2 linked regions of the Schizosaccharomyces pombe genome follow. Changing the gene in region 1 together with any one later gene gives a genetic interaction. Each region holds a gene or a part of one and is shown on either strand. Other genes may lie near its edges.

The links.
Region 2: mutations in tea4 (region 1) and pal1 are lethal when combined (synthetic lethality), as found in Schizosaccharomyces pombe (one study listed by BioGRID).

The regions. Positions count from the first base shown.
Region 1 is NC_003423.3:586,761-594,604, forward strand, and holds tea4 (tip elongation aberrant protein Tea4), read left to right. Parts: upstream 1-1,598; 5' UTR 1,599-1,968; coding exon 1,969-4,434; 3' UTR 4,435-4,674; downstream 4,675-7,844. Other genes in the region: fap1 (L-pipecolate oxidase), read left to right, coding at 1-1,021; dynamin-like GTPase fzo1, read left to right, coding at 7,712-7,844. UniProt on the Schizosaccharomyces pombe protein: Cell polarity factor essential for the bipolar localization and function of structures containing the cell-end marker tea1 during the normal cell cycle.
Region 2 is NC_003421.2:2,394,313-2,401,232, reverse strand, and holds pal1 (protein Pal1), read left to right. Parts: upstream 1-2,973; 5' UTR 2,974-3,084; coding exon 3,085-3,249; intron 3,250-3,495; coding exon 3,496-4,608; 3' UTR 4,609-5,037; downstream 5,038-6,920. Other genes in the region: acyl-coA-sterol acyltransferase Are2, read left to right, coding at 860-2,278; arrestin family membrane adaptor Mug170, read right to left, coding at 5,137-5,185, 5,231-5,562, 5,621-5,870, 5,909-6,558; Ark1/Prk1 family protein kinase Ppk38, read right to left, coding at 6,842-6,920. UniProt on the Schizosaccharomyces pombe protein: Involved in cellular morphogenesis and cell wall integrity. Important for the maintenance of a cylindrical cell shape.

The DNA.
Region 1 (7,844 bases):
GCGCACAAATCCACTTTTTAAAGAGCAATTTTATGGATCAGGACTTATGTTTGTTGGCCGTGACAATGTTGAGTATCGGGACATGAGTCTGGAAAACCTGACAAAAATGGGTGTGTCAGCAGCAAAGTTTCAAACTACAGAAGAATTGCGGAAACTTTTTCCAAAATGGATTGGCGAGCTGAATGATGGAGAAGCTGGGTATGCCAATTTTAGTTCTGGATGGGCCAACGCTGAGCAGTCTGTGAAATCCGTAGTTAATTACTTAGCACATGCCGGTGTTTCTTTCATTAGCGGACCTGAGGGAACTGTTGAAGAGCTTATAACAGAAGAAAACGTTGTTAAAGGCGTGAGGACTACTACTGGAGCTTACATGGCCGAAAAACTTATTTTTGCTACAGGTGCATGGACTGCATCTCTTTTACCTAATGACCACACACGATTCTTGGCAACCGGTCAACCAGTCGCATACATAAAATTGACTCCTGAGGAGTACATCCGCTTTTTGACAAATCCTGTATACTTAGATTTTGATACTGGATTTTATATTTTTCCCCCTACCCCCGATGGTTATCTAAAATTTGCACGCCATGGATACGGATTTACGAGAATGCAAAATCTTAAATCCGGAAAAGTCGAATCTGTTCCACCAAAGAAACCTCTCGTTTCTCCTATCCTGCCCAAGGAAGCGGAATTAGATTTACGCAGAAACCTTCAACGTACTTATGGCGAAGAAATTAGTCAAAGGCCATTTTACAAAACCCGTATTTGTTATTATACCGACACAGCCGATGCCGAGTTTGTATTTGATTATCATCCAGATTATGAAAATCTGTTTGTATGCACAGGTGGTTCAGGCCATGGATTCAAATTCTTTCCAATCCTCGGGAAGTATAGCATAGGGTGTATGTTTCGTGAGTTAGAGGAGCCCTTATTGAAGAAGTGGAGATGGAAGAAAGAAAATTTGGAGTTTGCTGCTTTAGACCACAGCCGAGCTGGACCCTCTCGACAAGAGCTAAGCTAAGATGTGCAATGCTAAACAAAAGAAAGGCTAGCGTCTATCTTTCTAGGCTACCTTATTTTTGTGTTGAATACTAATTGATTCTTCTTCATTCGAAATATTACGAGCATTGAATGTATACACATTAACAATTAACATCAACTTTATAACATCCAGACGATTATGTCGGTTTACTGTTTTCGAATAAAAACAGGGACATTTTCTATACCCTTTACATCGAACTTTATGTCCTGAATTAATATTACAAAGCATGCTAAGTAAAACCTTTTTTTCAATTATTTTAGATATGCATCATATAGCTAACTCGTTGGCTTTAAGAGAACTAAAGCGTCACAGCTTACTGAGGTTGTTTTTGATACTTAGATGCAATTCAAACATTTATAAATAATTAAATTTGACAATCTAATTAGAAATAACATAAAAAAAAAAATCAAAATAGAATAAAATGATCAAGAAGCTTTTTGTTTAAATGCAAATACCGTACTCGCTTTTATTCGTTGTATCGGTTAAACGACGTTTTACTGTTACGTTATCTGCCAATCTCGGATTTACGTAGCATCAAGTACGCATATCTTACCGCAATATTTAGAGGCGACTTAGTTTGTTAATATATTATATTTTTACACTAGTTATTGGAATGTTAACATTTTGAAGAGCAAGATCGTTTTATTTTCAAAAAGATTTTGCTGGATTCGTTGTTACGATTGACGTTCTAATCAACCCAACTTGAGTGTATGTTCATCAGGATCGGTATTTCCGTTTTCACTAGCGTTTTAGCCAGTATCCTGAATTTTTACCAGTTATAAATTGTATGAGGTTGAGAGTTTCTTATCCCTTTGCAACGTGTTTGTTTTTATCATTAGGAGTAGCGGTTTTTGAGACCTGAAAAGTGTGTTTGCTGTTTTTGCACATTTGTTCAAGTTCATGAGAGCTAACTACATTGTTTCAATATGTTACACATGAATAGTGCCAGTAGTGCTGACAGCATGGAAATTATGGAAAGTCATTTTGACCCGACACAACAGAATGATAGCACTATAATAGAAAGTCGTTACTCTCCGGAAGAATATCTGGAGCAGTCATTCGAGATACAAAGGATTATATCAGGAGAAAATAGTGAACCCCAAACTGTAGCGTCGCAAGAAATTAGCGATTCTCAAGAAGAAGACACTACATTAACATCGTCTCAATTTGAGGATTGTGGGACTGAATATAATGAAGTAGTGGAAGATGATGAGTTTCGCTCTGAAGATGAGGATGATTTTATGGACGAAGAGGAAGAATACGCTTTATATGAGGCAGAATTGAGTTCTTCCCCATCTATTCACGAAGAGGTTATTGATTGCAACTTTGTTCATGCCATTCGAGGCTTCGAAGCTACTGTTGAAGGACAAGTTGATGCTACTAAAGGAGACATGATGATTTTATTAGATGATTCTAATAGTTATTGGTGGCTTGTAAAAATGTGCAAAAATTTGGCTATAGGCTATTTACCTGCTGAATACATTGAAACTCCTTCAGAGCGTTTGGCTCGATTAAATAAATATAAAAATTCGGAAACGTCCAATTCTCAGCAGTCTGTGACTCTCCCGCCTTTAGATATTGTGGAAAAAACCTTGGAGGCTCCATCCCCAAATTTTCGTATAAAACGCGTTACCTTTACTTGTTCTTCTAATTCTTCCGATGATGAAATGGATTCTGAAAATGATTATGAGGCAATGGTAAACCGAACTGTCGCAGAGAATGGTCTTGAAATAGAATTTTCGGACAGTAGTGATTCTTCTCTCTCTGCTGAGTACCGTTCCGAATCCGAGGATCATGTAACTGATAGTCCTGCTTACGTGGATCTTACTGAACTGGAAGGTGGGTTTAACCAGTTTAACTCTACTTCTTTTCAAAGTACATCCCCCCTTGGTCTTGAGATTGTTGAAACAGAAATTAATGGCTCTTCCACTACTGCAGATTCGAAAAATTCACATTCCCCCTACTCTAAATTCTCATCAGCTTACCCAGATGCTGAAAATTCGAATATTAGTAAAATAAATATCTCAATAGCAGGAAACAAGGAATTATATGGCAATGCCACCCAGTCTGATCCTTCACTTTACAGTACTTGGATAGCAAATAAGCATAAAACTGCTTCATCTGCAACCGTTGATTCTCCATTGCGAAGATCACTATCAGTTGACGCAATGCAATCGAATGCTTCATTTTCTTCTTATTCGTCTACATCTAATACTGATAAATCATTGCGGCCTTCTTCTTATTCCGCCGTATCGGAATCCTCTAACTTTACTCATGATGTATCTCGTGATAACAAGGAAATCTCATTGAATGCACCAAAATCAATTATAGTTTCTCAGAGTGACTCTTTTGACACATCTAATGTTACTCAGGATGCCCCAAACGATGTAGAAAAGGAACCAATTTCTGGTCAAATGCCCAATAATTTATCAGTTCAATCCTTAAAACAATTAGAAGTGTACCCTATTCGACATTCGGTATCGATTGAAATGCCATCTGAAAAGCTTCTTTCCCCTCGATTATACTCTTCATCTACTCCATCCTCTCCAACAAAAGGATTCCAAAAGGATGACGAAGAAGACAGCGAAAACCGAAAGCAAGCAGATAAGGTTGAATTATCACCAAGTTCGCTTCTTCGTCAGATGTCTTTACCTGTTGATTCTTCCTCGCAAAGTGATGCACAGTGCACAACGTCTTCTGTATACATAACAGCGGAGCGTAAAGCATTTTCTCAATCTTCAATAGATTTATCAACATTGAGTAACCATCATGTAAATAACGAAATAAACAGAAGAAGTTTTGCGGGTGGATTTACAAGTTTAGCAGATGAATTAAGCGAAATGCGTGAGCTACTACACGAATCCCCGGCTCCATTGGAGTGTAATGAGGAAATGGTTATACCTACACCTGAGTTAGATGCTTCAAGTGCAATCCCGAGCTCTTCGATTTCACACGATGAGGATTTGCTACCAAGAAAGAACACAGAGGAATCTACCTCTTCTAGTTCCTTTTCCTCTCTTATCACTTCTCCTGCTTCTTTGCAATATGATGAAAATCCATTCAAGCAATCTGTGGTTGCGGAATTAAATAATAACTCCTCTTCGGTGCCATTCGTTGATTCGGCTCATGCTTCTGATATCCATGCGTACGATAACGACCACGTTAGTACTAAAAACAAAGAATTTAATCGTCGGTTGAGAGAGTTTATATTGGATCCAGACTCTCTTAGCGGGCTATATTGGAGTGTAAAATCAGCGGGAGTAAGGGCATCCCGCCGAGTTTCTCGTAATATCGAGGGTGAATCGGTGTCCTCGGACTTGGATGATATTTTTGCTAACGTATTGAAGGGTTTATCAGATGAGATGGCCTCCCTCTTAAATACGAATCGCTGAAATCTTTGATTAATTTAAAAGTTATACCATGTTTTTCCCCTTTATCAAACTATTTACACTCGTTATAAATCAGTTTTCTGTTTGATTAAACTGTTTCAAAAATTTGTTTGTTAATGTCTTTATGTTTGACTTTTTTTTCTTGTTAATAATATTTTTTAATAACTAACAGCATACCATAGTTGTATAAAGGTCTAAAATTCAATGTGCGGGTATGATTCGGATTATTGAGCGCTATAAAATAAATGTGTTTAAGTAAAATCTACCGAAGTATTAAATGAGCTAGTAATTATCTTATATGCCATTTCAAATTATAGTATCGCTGCATCATATTTTTTGTACAGTAATGCGAGCAGTGAAAATGTAAACTACTCAAGCAGATAGTAGTAGGCTTTGAGGGTATGATAGATTTTATGCATCCGTAAAAATAAGCCAGTGTACTTTACTTATGTGGCATGATGAATCAAATTCAATAGGGTATTAAAAAACAAAATTAGCACGATTTATAGCGATTCTTATTAAAAAATATTTCTCTTCTCTTTTAAACGAAAAAAATGAGATATTAACAAACGATGAACATGTTCATTAATCATTAATATGAGAATATCATCTGCTTCTACTTTTAAGGTATCGGATTCATCATCAAACCAACGGTGTATTTAAATGTATATTTTGTAAGCGATAGGCATATTGATTGTCTCATAATAAATAATTTATGTTTTTTCACTGGTAATTTTCACGCTAAATTAGATGATAATTAGCATCTTGACTACCAATTTCTCACCATCATCATAATTGAAGGGCGAAATTTTCAAATTTGACTTTTAATATTCTTTTAGTAATTGCACGAAGATATGTAAAGGAACATGGAAAAGTAAGAATGAACAATAAAATTTTTATTCCTTTACAAATTTACGACTTGTTATTAATTGGAAAGACAAAGCAATGTTATTTCTGTAACGAATTGAGTTTGTAGGAAGAAACAAAGTTCCTAAAAAGTATGCAAATATCTTCAATATGCGCTAAATAAAGAAAACAGTTCGTACAGTAAACAAAGTCAATAATTCGAAGCGACTAAATAACGAAAAATTTAGAATGAGACGGATATGAAATGCATTTTGAATTGACCCGTTTTCATTTGTACAACCACCATACATGATTATTCTCAACATTGTTTTTTATGAATGCGAAATAAGAAGTATTAGTTTAAAACATCAAGTAATTTTTTAACACGCCACCACGAGTGGACAATGTGAAGTTTACAACTTGTGCTAATTTTTTTGACTACTCAAAAAATTAAATATGCAGCACAAAACGAGAACTGAATTATATGCAAACCCTTATACACTGAGCCTTAAAATTCATGATTTTTTACTTGCAACAGAAAGTAATAAGTAGCTTAAAAAATTAGAGGAAATCTGTTAATCGTTACAGTGGATTCTCACATTAGACAATAACTACATTATTACGATAACAAATCATCGTTCTAAATCACAATATTTTATTATGCTGTTCATTATTTTGTAAACATTAATTTTGTTTGTATTAAAGTAAACCACTAAACCAAAGGAAAAAAATGATAATTAAGTTTGATTCATTAAGAATCAAGATGAAGAAGAAATGAATGCAATAAACGACAATGAAATTGTGAATTTAACAAGGCGAAACAACGAGTTTTTCGATTTCATTAGTTGATGATAACAGTCAATTAGTGAACTGCTATTTTAAAACGAATAAATAAAACCATTATTATAATATTCAATGCCCAGTGTATGTTATTCACGGAACCTTTCAAGCAATGCACTTGCTCATCCAATTCGTCAGGAAATGAAATATGCAATAAAAATACATGTGACATACTTTAAACAGATTTATGATTTGTTTGAGTAAATCACAATCATAAAGGCGCTTCTTTATTGCACATTCTTATGAAGAAAAGAAGCCTCGTGTAAAAAGCGACTTTATCATACAATTAGTAAAGTTAACAATATAATTAGGCTTCACTTTCGGGGTTCATCTCACGCAATGGAACAGCTGTGTATTCATTCACTTGCTGTTTGGCCTCATAACCTAATGATAATTAGCATACACAATTAAAAAGATATCATATTAAATTTACCCATCTTTCTGATCAAGTGTTGGATATGCCAACTGTAAACAATGATCACATCCAAGTTATTTTACAGCACTGGCAAGTTTCAACTTTCAATTGAGTAATTCCTTTCTTATTATTTACAATTCTTACCTGAATATGGAGGCAATGTACTTTCCTCCTCTGAATCATATTCTGGGAGGGGTCCTTTTTCCAAATCGATTTCATGATCTGTCTTCAATTCATCTTCTTCATCTAGAGGACTTTTCAAAGAAGTGTAATTATTCTTCATAATAATAAAATCATTCTTTATTTAATAAAATACATGCGCGAATTAATTGCTATGATTGCGACAAACCAAACAGCGAAATCAAGAATATTCACTTTGTAGTCCAATTCCAATCGCTTTAAAGACTTTTTAACAAAATAATAAAATCGTTCAAACAAATTTCCAACTAATTCCTTCAAACAATGGCATAAAAAAAGAAGAACGAAAAAACTGAACGAGGCAGTGAATTACTTCTGACACATTTATTTTGTCACTGCCCTTTTTATTCACCCCAACTTAGTTTTCCTTATACAGCATACTGTTAAAATTGGTTCGCTACGTTGCGTGTCACTAATTTCATATTTGTAAAATCATGTTTTTTAATATAGACATCAGTTAAGAACAAAGACTTAGAAGATTATAAATGGAATTAGTCGCTGCATCTCATTCCTCAGTTCAATTATTAGCTAAATCGGTGACTGATACTGTTAGGCGTCTTATAACAATAAATATAATATTGTCAGTTAACATAACGCACAACGCTATATGATTTATGTATCGCTAAAACAGATATCAAACGTCGTCGATGTCAACAGTATACGGTATACTTGAAATTTCGTTCCTACGTCTTATTTATGATGATACAAATGTAAATTTTTGAATTGTTGTGCTCAAGGATATAATAGAAATTTCTTTTTTAAAGCTTTATATGTAGAAAGATGATGTCTTTATTTTCTCATATTCATCTACTAATATGTTGCTCCCATTTTTTTTCATTATTCGTACTAAGGTGTTATGCAAACAGTATATGGTTGCAACGCATATGTATTAATTTTTAAGGAAGTTGCTCTTTGCATGAAATTTCCAATCTTTAGGGATCAAGTTCAATTATATAAACGCAAAATTCAACTTTAAATGATATGGAGAAGAGTGCAAGGCAATTATCAGTAGCCGAACAGAATGGTGAATCGGGAAGATTAAATAATGGATATACTTCAAACAATATTCAGCAGTATAAAGATGAAACTAATCGTCATCAGTTCGAGTATAACC
Region 2 (6,920 bases), on another chromosome or scaffold:
TATTCGTTCTTGACCACGCTATGTGGCTTTGCTTCTTAACTATGCAGTTTGTAACCAGTTTTAATGGCACGTTAAATCACAGTGAGTTGTATTTGTGCACTACTATATTGCGATATGCAGGTAACGCGAAAATCGGGTATTAAGGTGTTATTGTAAATTATTATTGAAATGCTCATAATATGTAAACTAAGGGAAAAAGGTTCGATTGAGCATTCTTTTTTGTTTGTACCTGTCAGTCATTTGGTAATAAGCTACAATAAGCAAGTGCCAATGTCGTATCACATATAGCGGATAAATGAATAGGACATGTGATATATAGTGATACGTAACGAAATTTTACATAACGTGGTGTAGTATTGCAGATATTGCTGAGATCAGGTGGTTCATCGTCTTAGCTCGCAATTCTAACTTATCAACTCCTTTGCTCATTTTGAAACTGGAGACTTGGCTTTTCCTTACATAAATCGCATAGAACGTGAATTGCTTAGGAGTTCGAGCTTTTTATTTACTTCCATTCTATAGTGGAACATTTGGCATAGAATTTTTATTTTTGGAATCACGACTGTGGAGTTTTCGTCATACCAGTTCTGTCATCTTGAAATTCCAAGTTGGAACTTCCATCAATAGATTACATTTCTAAGTTTCTTGCTTTCATTCCTCAATTTTTTATTTAGAAGCGAAGCAAAAAATAAATTTAATCTTCCTACGTTCATATCCGCTTCTTTTTCAATTTCTTTGATACTGTTCGCGATACGTAGCTGCTGATTTTACGTTATTTTTTTGTTTTATCTTTTTCTTTATATATTTATCTTTTTTGTTATATATTCACTTAGTTGCTTTAATTGCTGGTTATTTAAAGATGATTGCTGCAACACCCGCTAAATCCAAACCATCGGATGTCAACTTGGAACAGACGTTCAAAGGTGTTTCTGAAACCTCAAAAATTGACCTTCGAAGGTCTAGGGCCGCTTACCGACCTCTGGAATTATCTCCTACTCCCTCGATTTTTGCTCGTAATTATCAACGTAATGCGGTAGACTTTACTGGATTTTTTGTGTTATTTTGGGTTGCTGTCTCTATTATGATTTTCATGAGCTTTTTAGAAAATTTCGAATTGACTGGAAGACCAGTTGTTGGCACTATTTTTAAATACTTTCAGTCTAATTTGTTAGATCTGGCAAAGGCAGACCTTGCTATGTCTTCAATGTTTCTACTTGCTTTTCCTTTCCAAAAGATTTTTGCTTTGGGATATCTGCGGTGGTATGGTTTAGGCGTTTACCTCTATTCCATTCTTATTTTACTTTTTTTAAGCCATTGTGTTTTACGCTGCTGTCTTAGCAACTGGTCCTGGACGCATCGTGCTATGTTTATTCTTCATTCTATGGTAATCCTTATGAAGCTTCATTCCTATAACGTTGTCAACGGTTGGTATTCTTATTGTTATCATTCGTTAAATAAGCTTCAGTCAAAAAAAACCGATCTTGATGATGATGAACGATCCTCAGTTGAGTTTTATGAACATTGTCTCAACCATCATGGTAATACTTATCCGGAAAATTTAACCATACCAAATGCTTTGGATTTCCTTTTCATGCCCAGCTTATGTTATCAATTATACTACCCAAGAACCGCCCATGTGCGAATTCATTATTTGATTGAATGCGCTTTGGGAACGTTTGGTTGTATCTTTCTTTTGGTCATTATTTCTGATCATTTCATGGTTCCTGTACTTGCTAAAGCCATTCGAACCATTATTGAAGCTCCTGAAGACGCATCTGCTACTTATTTTGCTATACGTTTAGGCCATACTGTAGCATTTTTGATGTTCCCATTTATGCTTAGCTTCCTCCTCGTGTTCTGGGTCATTTTTGAAGGAGTTTGTAATTTCAGCGCAGAGATTACTAGATTTGCCGATAGAAACTTTTATGATGATTGGTGGAATTGCTGGACTTGGGATCAATTTGCCCGAACCTGGAATAAGCCCGTTCATTACTTTCTCCTTCGCCACGTTTATGTTCCCCTCAACTCTTTCATGTCAAAGTCTTTATCGACTTTTTTCACGTTCTTTGTCTCCTCTGTATTACATGAACTTGTTATGGGATGTATCACTTTAAAAATCCGCGGTTACGGTTTGTTTTTTCAAATGACTCAAATCCCGTATATCATTATTCAGCGACAGAAGTTTGTTCGAAGACATAGACTGCTGGGAAATATTGCGTTTTGGTTTTCTATCATAATTGGTATCGCTCTTATTGCAGCTCTTTATATCTTATTTTAGAAGCGATAGGGGTCTCCATTATGAATAATTACCTCTTAGATTTTTTTTACAATGCGTTATTTTTTCTAGTGACTATTTCTATCTTTGACACTTTTTGTGGCTCATTTCATCTGCCCAATAAGGGCTCCTTTATGACATTTTATGAATTGTTTTGTAATGCAAGTAGGAAATGCCATTTCTATTTGAACACGTCAAAAGGCTGCAGAGTAATTTTGGTAAAACTTAGTTTTTGTGCCTCTGTGGAACTTCCGTTTCATTTTGTGTCGGTTCATTTGCTTGTTTATGATAAAATGGAATCCTGATTAAATTAACGAATTAAAGAAATGGGTTTAAAACATTTTTTTCGTTGAAAATTATGTTAACCGATTTGTTGTTTACTTAAGATTTTTAACATTCACAGATGTTCGTTTAATTTTTAGCCAGATGATTGCTTTGATTAATAAGTTTCCTCATCTCGTATTTTCATTAACATAACCATCACTGTTATTAATCGAATTAATGTGTCTAATCGTCAGTGGTTAGGATATTCGATTTATTCAGTTTTCCCATTCTTAATAAATGTACTTTTCTGTCTTGCACAATAAAATTATTATAGCAAGAAACCTAGATAACGCAACCCAATGTGCAATAGCACTGTACAGTAAATTGCCTATAAGCAGGGGTAGATATTTTTACCACTGGAATCCCAACTCACCAAGAACCCATATCTTGTAGTTCGAAGTTTGATTCGGAAAAACCTCTTGTGTATTTCAAGGTGCTCTTTCTCAAAACGAAATCGCAAGGGTATCGTTTGGGTGCAATACGGGATGATGGTAATAGAGAACCCTTTTTTAAGTACTGCTACAAGCAGTCAGACACCTCAAGAGGATGGCGTGTACACGTCTTCCCTGCACAACAGTAACAATCCTTTTTTAGCTCCCAAGACAGAGCGTGTGGCTGATCCGGTCATGGAATCTATGGCAGATGACTTGGTATGTAAATTTTTGAGGCTGAAGTAGATATAATTCGGTCATTGCTTCGTTACGTGAAGATTTGTTAAATTTATTGAAACCTTTCCAAATTAGTGTTCTATTAAGAGTTTTTAAGTTTCTAATTTAAAGCGCTCATAACGTACATTTTATTTAGACAAGGAGTTTCTTCGGTTTGCAATGAAGTTGAGCCGAAAATCGAGCACAGCTTTCAATTTTAATATGTTTCAAAAACTAACATTTTACCAGTTTAATAGTATTCAAAAGAAGAAGGAGCCATCTCCTGCTTCCTCTGCTTCAGCAAGTCCCGTTAAAAAATCTGCGGAGGCATTAGCCGAACGATCTAACAGTTCGATGGGCACTTTTGACCCCCCTCCAAGATATTCGAAAATTGCTAGAGCTCGTAGTACTCATGTTGCCAGCTCTAGTCGCCATCGTTCTCCATCGCATAACGACAGTTCACCATCCACCCAATCCAGTTTGAAAAGCAGGGGTAGCATTCGACGCTACAAGTCTGTACGAGAGGGATCACATCGTCCTGGTCGGTCGTCAAAAGAACCATTAGATCAGATAGATCGTTTGGACGTAACAGGGCTTTATGGATCTGGTAGCTTTCATCACGATGGTCCTTTTGATGCTTGTCGACCTCATCGTAATCGAAATTCTAAGAAAGCACCTGTTGCCGCATTTCCAAAAGATAGTATTGCTAATTCCATTCCGAAAGTTGGGGAAACTTATAATGACCCTTCAGTCCCTAAGGATTTTAGCAGAAAAGCCATTCATGAGAGTTTGCGTACAAAAAACATATTGCAATCTCCTTATAAATCTGTTGGCATCGAAGAAGAATTTCCTTCATCTGGCAATAATGATACTCCAGGTTTAACTGACTCTACCCGTATAGAAGGTGCGATGGCTTCAAAAAATGCAATTGCACGTAATGAAGAAATGTTGGCAATGGAAAAAGCGGGCTTGGGAAGAAAAAATTCTCTCATTCGAAAACTTGGATTAAATCGTAGCGCTAGTATGATGTCTCGTACACCAAATACTTTGAATAGGCCATCTAATTATCGGTCTCACTCTTCCATGGGAACCCGAAGATCTCCACTTAATTCCCCTTCTCAACTTGACCCCATTTCTAACGAGAACGAATCTGATACTGATGACAGTAACACTGGCCTTCGTAATCGTACATCTCCTACAGCTGCTCCACCGCCACCTTCTCGTAGGAAAACAGGTGGACTTAATACACGACCTTATCCCCAACACGCTGAATCTCAAATGTCTCTTCCGCTTACTGCGAAAGAGCGTTCCAAACCCAAGAAAATGGGATTTTTTAGACGATTATTCCACAAAAAGTCGTAGGCTTTTCAGGCTTGAAACTTTATTTACTATAATAGCATCTTTGAGTATCATCTTTCTCTATTCCCCTTTTTATTTGTTTACCAATTTCTCAACATCTAATACGTCTGTACCCCTGCTTTTAAATATTGAATCAGCTTAGTTCAATTCTTCGTCCAGTTTGTTGGAAGTTTCTGCTTTAATCTTCCGCATACTTATTATTACCATTCTTTGTTTTTGTCCTAATATTTCGCATCTTGTCCTTTTCTCTTTTGCTTCTTCTCGACATTCACTAGTTCGTCTGAAGTCTACATTTTTCATGCCTACTTGTTCTGCATAACTTTAACAAATCCAGATGCTTTTCTTTTACATTTTCCTTCTTTCGAAATTTTTTCACCTGGTGATATTTTGATTGCTCTCTACTTTAAGTAATTTAATCATGATCTCTATTTTTTCTACAATGCAGTCTTCGTTCATTTACAATCTAGTTTCACTAAGTGAATTGGCAGTAGATATATAGAAGCGTACTCTGCATGTTATAGGTAGCTGATGTTAGTTCCAGGAATGTAAAATCGTTATAGGAATTTGTATTGATAAAATTCTATCTTGTTAGCGTGTGAACTTAAACAATGATTGGATTACATACCTTGGTTTAAAAAATGCTGAGAAACAAACTTCAAGGGTATAATCAATTTTCAGCTGATCTTTTAAATTAACAGAACGGCAAAATTCAGGTATTTTGATTTGTGCGTGGATTGTGTTTTTTAGAGTCGGTGCCAAATTGGAATAAACAGATTTATTAGCAATTTTCCAAGTTGATTTTGCCCTTGTTTTCGTCTTAGTTTTTTGATAACGCTTCAAGTATCCGCAACTCGCGAATGTTTCTTCGGCCTGGTTCATACAATAACCACCGTAATGATTTTGAGTATTAGGGTGAAAGATATGAGTTTCCAGCAATCGTGCTTTTATATTATGAATCTTTTGAGAGTTAGCGATTAACTGTTATCTTTAGTTTAATTAATTTACTAGACTTTACCCTTCTGTGATGATTATGAGTGTAGCAAATGGTAAAATCGATGATTTGACCACTAAAAAACAAGGATCTGTCCGTATGAACCTCCAAGGTAGTTTTTGCTTCTTCTAATGAAAGATAGGGTAGGCTTTTAATGCATGAGATCGGGTTATATAGCTCCGCTATATTATTATGCATTGAAGTGATTACCCGTTTAGGAATTGTACAACGAGTACAGCGAATATTTTGATCCAGAGATGTTAAAGTCAGCGTACTAAGATGTCAGTTACTTTTTTCGGTTTAATCTTTTACCTTGAAATATAGTATAACAGTTCTAATTTCGATGAATGATAAGTACCTGGACCTATATCCAAAGGAACGATGAAGGAGAAAGGAAACCCAACTTTACAAGAACATTTAAGGAAAAGGCCCTTGTTGCCTATGCTGGCAGAAGCTGCCTTTGAGAGAATCAGTGCAGATGTCTTAAGGTTGCAAAACGAGTACTTTTCAGAGATAGAATAGAAAGGTTCTGAATGGCCTTTAAAATTCAAAATACCATAGAAATCGAGAAACATTTCCTTTATCCAAACACCGGTTTCCACGTTTTTTGCCCCTTCGTAGGATAACCAAATGTTGCCATGTAACAAGGATCCAGCTATTAAGGAAGTATCAGGAATCGTTATTGCTACTTTTATACCATCACAATTTAAAACTTGGTTTTCAAAGATTTTTTTTACTTGTAAATTAGATTTTCGAACTGGTGCATCAGCTTCAGGATAAAAAGACGATTTCCTATTCAGAATATTCGGTCGTAACACATCAGTTTTGATGGTTAATATTTCTGACTCTTCACTTAATATATAGGGATCATCAAAAGGATTTTCTATACTTGACAATGTTTTAGATGTCAATGGATCCGACAAACTGCAAGTTTCACTGTTACTAAAAAGTTCTTCTGTCATTAGCACGATATTAGGTTGTTATCAAAATGAATGTATATTTTTATTTATTGGAAATAGTTGTTGGAGAAATCTTAAACTGATATTTGCCAATGAGGTTGTTTACTCGTCAACATCATACTCGATGGTAAACATTCCAAAACAAAACGGTAACTTAGTTGGTAAAAAAACAAGCGCAAAAAGAAATATACAAAGAAATTGTAATAAAATTTTGTAAAATATAGATACTTAATGTCCACATTATTTGACTTATCCGTAAGGTCATTTGAAGATCATGATAAAAATATTACTTTTTCGTTTGCTGAACGTCGGTGTAACGGCCATAGCCTTCAACCTTCGGTTTTTCGTAATCAGTCTTGGTCATA